3 linked regions of the Sus scrofa genome follow. The protein of the gene in region 3 interacts with the protein of the main gene of each other region in a pairwise test. Links are inferred from orthologs where the notes say so. Each region holds a gene or a part of one and is shown on either strand. Other genes may lie near its edges. The genes, in order: STAC3, AGGF1 and MAB21L3.

What was found.
Region 1: the proteins of MAB21L3 (region 3) and STAC3 interact in binary tests that used the Homo sapiens proteins (3 or more experiments, as listed by UniProt). The two-hybrid records come from large-scale screens. The link is inferred for Sus scrofa from reciprocal best matches to the Homo sapiens genes MAB21L3 and STAC3.
Region 2: the proteins of MAB21L3 (region 3) and AGGF1 interact in binary tests that used the Homo sapiens proteins (3 or more experiments, as listed by UniProt). The two-hybrid records come from large-scale screens. The link is inferred for Sus scrofa from reciprocal best matches to the Homo sapiens genes MAB21L3 and AGGF1.

What each region holds. Positions count from the first base shown.
Region 1 is NC_010447.5:22,548,413-22,550,977, reverse strand, and holds the end of STAC3 (SH3 and cysteine-rich domain-containing protein 3), read left to right. Parts: intron 1-210; coding exon 211-277; intron 278-465; coding exon 466-515; intron 516-806; coding exon 807-892; intron 893-1,076; coding exon 1,077-1,128; intron 1,129-1,216; coding exon 1,217-1,354; intron 1,355-1,526; coding exon 1,527-1,625; 3' UTR 1,626-1,970; downstream 1,971-2,565. UniProt on the Homo sapiens protein: Required for normal excitation-contraction coupling in skeletal muscle and for normal muscle contraction in response to membrane depolarization. Required for normal Ca(2+) release from the sarcplasmic reticulum, which ultimately leads to muscle contraction.
Region 2 is NC_010444.4:85,889,022-85,892,774, forward strand, and holds the start of AGGF1 (angiogenic factor with G patch and FHA domains 1), read left to right. Parts: upstream 1-1,401; 5' UTR 1,402-1,807; coding exon 1,808-2,017; intron 2,018-3,753. UniProt on the Homo sapiens protein: Promotes angiogenesis and the proliferation of endothelial cells. Able to bind to endothelial cells and promote cell proliferation, suggesting that it may act in an autocrine fashion.
Region 3 is NC_010446.5:104,648,589-104,652,341, reverse strand, and holds the start of MAB21L3 (protein mab-21-like 3), read left to right. Parts: upstream 1-1,054; 5' UTR 1,055-1,473; intron 1,474-3,753.

The sequences.
Region 1 (2,565 bases), on a different chromosome or scaffold from region 3:
TGTCAACTATATTGAAGCATGATGTGGGTGGCCAACTGCCCGGATGTTTCAGAGGAAGTCCCTGCATTTGGCAGATGGTTGACTAGATATTTCCCCTAAGGCTTCTTCCAACCCTAAGATACTATTCTGTAGTTCTCTGGCCTGACTGTAGAGTCAGAGCAAGCATGGGTTTCCAAGACAGCATCTTCCTAACTCTGGTGCCCCCTCCAGCCTCTAGCAGCTATGATGGAAGAGGAGCCAGAGTCTGCCAGACCAGAGGAAGGCAAACCCCAGGATGGTGAGTGACACCTGCCTCCATCCAGAGATGGAGGAGTGTTGAGGCTCAGCTGTGCCACAAGGGATTGGGGGCGGGGGGCGGGCAAAGGGCATCTCAGGTTTGAGAAAAGAGTCCCTGGAATAGAAGGATAAGAGATTGAGGGCTACCTCCAGGAGCCAGAGACAATTTGTTGGTGTTTCCCATTCCAGGAAACCCTGAAGGAGATAAGAAAGCTGAAAAGAAGACACCTGATGACAAAGTGAGAATCTGAGAATCTTTCTCCCTATGTGGACCCCAGTCCTCTCCCCAACCCAGGTCTGACACCACTCATGGCCTTAGCAGAAGCTCACATTTATTCCATGGGTTCCCAATCACCCTTAACCTGCCTTCTCCACCACCTCACACACGCAAACCAATAAATTCCTCTTAGTTCAGGGACATGGAGGAGAGTTGGAATGTAGTGTGTCTAGCAAATGCCCTTGTCTTGGCCTCCTGCCCCTCAGTGTGGGACAGAGGAGCTCTGAGACTCATCACCCCCTTTCACCCCCAGCACAAGCAGCCTGGCTTCCAGCAGTCTCATTACTTTGTGGCTCTCTATCGGTTCAAAGCCCTGGAGAAGGACGATCTGGATTTCCCGTGAGAGGCCTTAGGATCGGGGTGGGGTGTACTGGGAGTGGAGAGGGGAGAGCCCAGCTCCCTATGGGAAAGGAAAAGGGGGGATTCAGGGTTTGGAGCCTATTTGGGGCTGGACCTGGGCACAGCCAAGGGACTAGATGTATAAGGCCCCTAAATCTCAGAGGCTTCTTCCTTCCTCTCCCAGGCCTGGAGAGAAGATCACCGTCATTGATGACTCCAATGAGGAGTGGTGGCGGGTAAGAGAAGTGGCTGAGTCTCAGGTGGGACATGGGTTAAGTTAGGACTTGAGATTGTGAGATTGATTCTGCTTACCATGTCCTCTAGGGGAAGATAGGGGAGAAGGTTGGATTTTTCCCTCCAAATTTCATCATTCGGGTCCGGTCTGGAGAGCGAGTGCACCGTGTAACAAGATCCTTCGTGGGGAACCGCGAGATAGGGCAGATCACTCTCAAGAAGGACCAGGTAGCTCTGGTGCCCCAACTCAACCCCAGGCGCAGAGGCTTCTCTGCAAACCATCTTCTTTGCAGATCTTCACCCATTAATGGGACTAGATCGGGCCTCCAAAACTCAGAACTCCCCCCTCAGCTCTTCTGTTTTCTCTTGATTCCTCCCTTCTCATCCTTTCATCCTTTAGATTGTGGTGCAGAAAGGAGATGAAGCCGGCGGCTACGTCAAGGTCTACACCGGCCGCAAGATGGGGCTGTTCCCCACCGACTTTCTAGAGGAGATTTAGGCTTGCAGACGCCTGCTGGCGGGAGATACCCAAACCCCACTATGGGCAGGCCCAGTGGAGGTTGGGAAGAGAAGGGGCGAAAGCAACTTTACCGCTGGGTGGGGGAGAGGTGGGAAGGCCCGCCGGAACGTGACGGGGCTTCTGGGAAGGGACTGGTTCCCGCCCCCCTCCCCCTCGGAGGGCGTCGCAGACTTGGTGCCTGGAGCAGCCTCACCCGCAACCCCTCAAGCCCAGCCTTTGAGAGCTGGAAAAAGAAGGCATCTCCACTCGGAGGCGTCCCGAGGAGAGGGGGGTTGAGGCGAAGTGTCCAATGTTGCGAATTTATTAAAGTTTTGACAGAAGTTAGAAAAGTTTGCTGTTTAACTGGGAGCCGAGGGGAGAAAGGAGAGGGCCCACAAAGGGGCGGAGAATCTTCTCCAGCCGTCTCAGCTAATTACCATTGGGTAATTAGACCCGCCTGGGCTGAGGCTGGTGCGAGGTGGGGAGACGGGTGCGTCCGCCAGGCAAGGCCTCGGTCAGTGAAGAAAACGGTGCCGGACTGGTGTCACTGCTTCTGAGCCGCGAGGAGCAGGATCCTGTAGCAAGGTAGGTGCCCCCCTACTCTTAACGAGCGATTTAAGCCTCTGGCAGCCCCTTTCATTTCCGAACCTGGCGCAGTTCCGAGCTGGGCCGCCAGGGGGCGATACAAGATCTCGGTTGGAGTGCGAGGGACGGGAGGGGCGGGGGGAGAAGCGAGAACTGGAGACACCAAGCCAGAGACCCTGGGCCTGGGAGGGGGTGGGGTGCGTGCCGTCTCCATGGCAACACTTCCTCTTGTCCTCCGGGAACTGAGCGAGCGAGGCCGGGGGTCTAACCCCTCCTACGCGGCCCCCAGCCCCAGCCCTTTGCGACAGGTACCGAGTGAGAGGGCGCGGGGCAGACAGCTAACCGGCTCAAGCGG
Region 2 (3,753 bases), on a different chromosome or scaffold from region 3:
AAAATAAAATGTGGTATACCTGTACCTTGGAATACTATGCAGCACGTGTATAGAGAGCAATGTATATAAACTTTAAAAACATCTTTAGTGTGGAAAAAATAAGAAACAGTGTAAGATTTAAAACCAAATACCACTTAGTGTAAAAGAATCTCACACACACAAAGCATAGGATGAGAACAGATTTATATTTAAGGACATATATGAGACACATGAGGGTGGGTGCCCATAGTGGCAGAAAGGAGCTAATGGGACTGGGGCTATGGAACAACACGAACACAAAACCCAAAATCAAAAAACAAAAACAGTAAAAGAGAAGAGCCATCCATGGGCTAATGTGTCTACTTGAGTGTAGAGTGCCTTGCTGAAGGGCTCTTAAAGCCTAAGATATAATGAGTGTAGGACATAGGAAGGGCAGGTCCCCGTTGGAGAGCTCACCACACACAGACTTAACTTGTGGGCAGTGCACAGGACAAAAAAGCACACAGAGCAGTCACTGAACGAGAGCATCAAACAGGATTCTTCTTTTCAGCACATATTTAAGGATACCTGCTCTGTGACAGGCCAGTGCTGGGCCCTGGGACAGGACCTCCAGAGGTCCCAGGCCCAGCAGTCCAAGTTCAGGCTCTGATTCTAAATGACCTTGGCTAAGGAAGGAAATGCGTTCCAAGGACAGGACCTCCGGAGGTCCCAGGCTCAGCAGTCCAAGCTCAGGCTCTGATTCTGAATAACCTTGGCTAAGGAAGGAAATGCGTTCCAAGGACAGGACCTCCAGAGGTCCCAGACTCAGCATTCCAAGCTCAGGCTCTGATTTTTAATGATCTTGGCTAAGGAAGGAAGTGCGTTCCAAAAAGCCCTCATCAGTTTAAAAGCCTGTGAACAAATACCAGTTTCATGGAGACAAAACACCAAGCAAAGAGACACACCGAAACAGATAAATTTTCTTTTCTGCTTTGACAGAATCGTGTTTATTTTTCTACCGGGAATGCTCCTCTTTTCAAGTCTGACCTATAAGAATTTGCTTTCTTTTCCTGGGGACCTAAACTCACGGAAGGCGCAGAATCAGTAAGTGACAGAGCATGAGAACACATCCTTCCAGTCTCGGTTTAACATTAATTCTATACACCTTGGCAAATCATTTCTTGGAGAGTCACTGTTCTCAACTGTAAAATGAGGAGCTAGGAAGTACACTCCGTGCCAAAAAGCTTGAAAACATTTTGAAAGTGGCAAAGGGTACAAAGCCTGAGGCCACAAGAGGAGCCAGCCATCTTCCCTTTATCTCTCCCGGGCAACAACAGAAGATTTCCTACCAGCTCTGCACAACACCTACAGCCCCGCCCCTCAACCGCGCAGACAGGAGAAGTGCGCATGTGCATCGTGAGGCCCTTCCCGTCTCCCGTCGCTTCCTTTCCCGTCTCGGCCCCGCCCACCGCCGGCACCATCGTTTCCGGCTCAGCCCAGAAACGGACGGATATCTCGGAAAGCTTCTGGCCTCGTTTTCTCTGGTCTTTCCTATCTCCGGCGTTTCTGCCGCTTATTCGGTCACTGGGGCAGGTTGTTACCAATAAAGTTTTACTTTTCAAAGCCGGGCGGATTGGGCCGTGCCCATTTCCGTCCCCTGGCTCGTTGCCCGCAGTGCCTCTTGGCTACAGATAACCTTTTGGGCGTCATGGACAGGGGCCGCCGCGGCCGGGTGGGTATGAGGCCGCCTTTCGCTGCTCGCGCGCTCCCGTGGCTCCTGGGCCAACCGGCGTCCGCCTCAGCCTGAGTGCAGCTCCTCCGCGCCCACGGGCCGTCTCGCGCCGGACCCATGGCCTCCGAGGCGCCGTCGCCTTCGTTGTCGCCGTCGCCGCCTCCCTCTCCCGAGCCAGAGCTGGCCCAGCTGAGGCGGAAGGTGGAGAAGTTGGAACGCGAGCTGCGGAGCTGCAAGCGGCAAGTGAGGGAGATCGAGAAGCTGTTGCATCACACAGAACGGCTGTACCAGAGCGCCGAGAGCAATAACCAGGAGCTCCGCACCCAGGTGCTCGATCCTTCTCCAGCCCCGCGCCCCATCCGGCCCAAGGCGAGGCCTTCAAAGTCTCCGATAGTCTCAGAAGGGCTCCTTGGCAGTGCTCAGGACTACTTTGTAGAGTATCCCAGAGAATGAAAAGTTTAGTGCGATTATAACTCCAAGTACATTTGGAACAAACATTTAAGAGTTCGGGTACTCGATTTAGACTAAGTGGGTGAGCTGCAATTACTTGAGACTTCATTCTCCCTTGTAAAGTCCCATTGGCAGCAGGCACATTTGTAATGTTTTCTTCTAGCCCACTTTTGGGTTTGTTAAAGGGCCGGATTTCAATCAGAATTCCATTTATTATTCACTAGATGCGTGAACTAATACTGATCCTCAGTAAATGAGAACGCTGGAACCATACTGGTGAAGGTTAAATCAGATAAAGCCTGAACAAACTGTTAACGGTTTTGCACAGTCTTGAAGGCCACATATGTGTGAGGTTGTTTTGGGCATTTATCTTGAGTTGTCTGGTGAAAGGGAAGATAAAACTGTCTTTGAGACACTAAGCTGCCAATTTCGTTTTCATAAAATACAATATGAACAAATACTTAGACCCACTTTTTTTCAAATTTTAAACAGGAGCCTAATATTTTTTCTAATTTGTTGATCAGTTGCACTTTTTCTCGACAAGTTATTTACACTTAATTATTAATTTCACGTGGGCTGTCGTCTTGTCCTTTGTACTCTACCGGTACATTTCCTAAAACCCCTTGTGTAGGCTGGACATACAAACGTCATCAGACTTTGTTATGCTCTGTTATCAAATAATCTATGAAAATAACCATGGAGTTGCAGTGACGTCCTGTGCCCATTGTGTAGAGTTGTTAACATGACATTATAGAAAATTTGTTTGTTTTTGCAACAGCTATTGAACACTTGCAATGCATGATGACTGGGCTAGGAGACTACAAAATATGGTTAAAATACCTGGGGAAAGGGATACTAAAAAGAATAGCCTTTATTTTTTATTTTGTTATTAAAGTGTAGTTGATTTACAATGTGGCAATTTCTGCTATAAGGATAACCTTTAAAAAAACTCGTTTATAATTGTATTTTTTAATGATTTTTATTTTTTCCATTAGTTAATTTACAGTGTTCTTTCAGTTTCTACTGTATAGCGAAGTGACCCATCATACGTATATGTTCTTCTCACATTATCCTCCATCATGTTCCATCACAAGTGACTAGATATAGTTCCCAGTGCTATACAGCAGGATATCATTGCTTATCTACTCCAAATACAATAGTTTACATCTATTAACCCCAAACTCCCAGTCCATCCCAATCCCTCCCCTTCCCCCTTGGCAACCACAAGTCTATTCTCCAGGTCCATGAGTTCCTTTTCTGTGGAAAGGTTCATTTGTGCTGTATATTAGATTCCAGGTATAAGTGATATCATGTGGTATTTGCCTTTCTCTTTCTGACCTACTACACTTAAGTATGAGAGTCTCTAGTTCCATTAATGTTGCTGCAAATGGCATTATTTTGTTCTTTTTATGGCTTGGTAGTATTCCACTGTGTATATATACCACATCTTCTTAATCCATTCATCTATCAATGGACATTTATGTTGTTTCCATGTCTTGGCTATTGTGAATAGTGCTGCAGTGGGTATAGGGGTGCATGTATCTTTTTGAATTAAAGTTTTGTCCAGATATTTGCCTGAGAGTGGGATTGCTGGTTCATATGGTAGTTCTGTA
Region 3 (3,753 bases):
AGAACTTACTATGTACCAGGCATTGTTGGAGGCTTGGAGTTGCCAGAGATCAGGGAAGGGGGTTTAGCAAGATGTGAGCCTGCCCAGAGTCGTAAGGGGATTTAAGTACAACACGGATGGAAGTTCCTGGTGAAATGAGAGCCTCTGGGATCCAAGTTTGGGAAACTGGCTAGTGACAGAAATGGATTTTTCAACAAAAGAATTTCCCAAGGAGTGAGGTTTCCAGCTGAGACTTGAGAGTGTTTTCAAGGAAGTCTAAGTCACATAACTTCTAAGCCTCCCTCATCCTCTGCTTTTAATTACATCAATAATTAAAATTAACAGGCTAAAACCTGTTATCTCAGGAGAATAAGCTTGTCATTATCAGCAAAGGGACACATACTCATTTTCTCTTGCAAATACTCCTTCCCTTTATCAGATGAGCCATATTTCAAAGTCCAGTCCAAAGACCAGGCCTTCCCCACAGCCACCATTTTTTTTTTTTTCACATTCCTTGTTAAACTTCTTTATTTGTTACTTAATAACTTTTTTAGCTTTGGAGTAGTTCACAATATTCTCCAAAGGATAGTTTAAGTACCCTCTAAAGTCTTCACAGCATGAATTTAGTTTTAGAATCAGAGATTTTTTTTTTCTCTTTCTCATGTTCCTGTTCTTTACTATGAAATGTTAATAATACCATCTTTATTCTAAGTCCTTGTGCTGATTGCTAAGTAATGTGTATGTAAACCTCCAGTTGCCAAGTAGGAGGGCTTCAGTAATTTCCACTACCTAGAAATTGCCAAAGATTTTCTTTCTTTCTTCCTTTCTTTCTTTCCTTTCTTCCTTTCTTCCTTTCTTCCTTTCTTTCTTTCTCTTTTTAGGGCTGCACCGGAGGCATATGGAGGTTCCCAGGGTAGGGGTCTAATCGGAGCTGCAGCTGCCAGCCTGCGCCACAGCCACAGCAATGCCAGATCCGAGCTGCACCTGCAACCTACACCACAGCTCACGGCAACTTGGGATCCTTAACCCACTGAGTGAGGCCAGGGATGGAACCTGTGTCCTCATGGATCCTAGTCGGGTTCATTAACTGCTGAGCCATGAGAAGGGAACTCCAATACCCATAATTTTTAAAGGTTTTTTTTTTGTTTGTTTGTTTGTTTGTTTTTTTAATGTGAACTCTCCTAGTGCCATATTTTTATCCAGAAAATGGAATTGATATGGAATGTTTCACAAAAACACATTTTCAGTCTGCTCCAGTTTATGTGCCCCCTATTCATGTAATTGAAGAAATAAGACATTTATAAGACCACTTCCTTCTTCTTTATCGTCCTTGAAGCTCCCTCCCCCCTTTCCCCTCCCACTTTCCCGAGGAATCCTGGTTTGGGGAGGAGGCTGTAGGCTCCTGGTGGGAGGAGAGGAAGGACTATAAAATCCGTTTTCTCTCCCCCCTCGGACAACAGATCTTTCTTTCCCTTTTGGAACCAACTTGGAAGGGTAAGTGAGTTGGGGAGAGGTAGTTGATGGTGGGGTGGGGGGAGTCAGGAAAGGTGACTCCCCATTCTCCAGGCTGTAGGGGGAGAGGGTGATTCTTGAGACTTCCTTCTGGCTGTGGGTGTGCTCAGGAAGAGTGTGATCTGCCCAGAGCGTCATCTGTGTTTAATCATGGAAACCCAAGGAACGAACAGGAAGCAAATTCAATTCCACATTATGTAAACCACCCTTAAGGTTGATGGACAGGTCTCCTTGTTTTGAGGACAAACAAATATTACCAGGTTTCTATCTTAATTGCTCACATGGGTTCTACCCCTCGCCCTTTCCCCTTTCTGCTCTTAATACTCTCCCTGAGCAACCTCAGCGCCATCCACTCTGAATAGTGAATTTTATTATTTGTATATTACATCTTTTCCTGATTTTAAAAAGAGCAGTCTATTAATTGTTAGGGGAAAAAACAATGAAAAAAAGCTAACATGGAAAAAAAATTCGATGTACTCCCGCTACCCAGAGAAACCACTGTTTCTATTTTAACCTTTGCTCCATGTATGGACAGTGTTTGTGATCTGCTTTTTTCCATTTGTCAACAGTATCACAAACATTTTCCTGTTATGAAATATTCTTTTACTGTGTACTTTTTAAAGGCCGCAAAATCTTCCATCATATAGATGGGTTATAACTCGTGAGCCAGCGTCTAGTCATTTAGTTTCTGTCCATTTCTCCCTCTTATAAAAACGCACCCAGAGTTGGCCCATCCCTCCTGTTTCACTTAAATTTTAAGATGCAGACTCATTGGGTCAGGGGGCATGATTTTTTAAAATTTTGATGAAAATCGTCCTGTCCGTTTGCACTGCCATTGTTAACACATGAGGGCCATATTCCCCAGAGGCTCCTAAGCATTATCACCGTTTCCTAATATTTTGCTAAATTACCAACTTGGGGGCAGGGCGAGATGAAGGGAGTACCTCCTCATTCAATGTTCATGTTTTTGTAACTTAGAGATGAAATAGTGTTTACGTTTCTTAACCACTGGTATTTCCTCAATGGATTGTCTTCTTGGGTTTTCTGCTTATTTCTATATTGTGAAATTATGTTTTCTAATTTTGAAGGTTTGAGTTTTTATGTAGCTAAAGTTTTCAGGACCTTCAGCACATGTTCTTCATCTGTACACATTTAGATAAATGTTCATCCCTTTTTTTCTTCTGGTTCCTTTTGTGATTTATTTTTATATTGAACACCTTCATTTACTTGGAATTTATTTTGGAATATGAGGGGATATAGGGGCCTGGCTTTATTATTTTTTTCTCAATCTCTGCACATTTTTCTTTCTTCTCAGTCGTTCGTATTGTCCCCACAGATTAAAAATGCCATCTTTATCTCAGAGCCTGTAAGGATCCAGAGCTCACGCATGGTCAGGTTGTTTGGGCAGAAGAAGGGAAGTGGGTGGGAGGGATTGGGGCTTGAGAAGGCATTTAATAAGGAGACTTCCACTTTATAGGTAGATTGTGTCAAACACACGTTTTAAAAAAATCATCAGAAAAAAATGACATATTTTCATTCGTACAGTCTGGATGTATGGGCCTTAGAAGTGTTTTCTATATTTTTCTAGTGCTCTATAAAAAAATTTTACAAGAACTGTATATTCCCTGGAAGTTTAAAAAAACCACCAGTATGAGTTCCTGCTGTGGTACAGTGGATTAAGAATCTGACTGCAGTGGCTTGGGTCACTGTGGAGGTGCAGGTTCAATCCCTTGCCCTGGGCAGTGGGTTAAAGGATCCGGCATTGCCACAGCTGTGGTTCAAATCCAATCCCTGGCCCAGGAACTTCTATATGCCACAGGTGCAGCTGTTAAAAAAAAAAAAAATCTCTGGTAAATTGAGCCTGGCATCTTCTTAACAGTTTTTATCATTTCTTCTATAGGGGTTTCTCTTAAAATGTTCTGACTTCTTTTGGGTCAATTTTCCTCATTAATTTTTTTTTCTAGGATATCATCCACTTTTTTCAGATGTTGAATTCATTAGCATATGGTTTGGCAGAGTAATCTCTATCTATATCTTTCTGATCCTATTTTGTATATTGTAATTGTCTTCTTTTTTACTTGATGAGATTAGCTAAAGTGTCTGTGTTTCTCTTGCTTTTAATCATTTTTAAAGAATTTCCAAGCACTTAGAATTACTTTGTATATAATCATTATTTTTTGTTGTTGTTTTGCAATGGTCAAAAGATGCAGTAAGTATAATTTGTTTTAGAATATTTAAGATTCTCTGCCATGATTTTTCCAC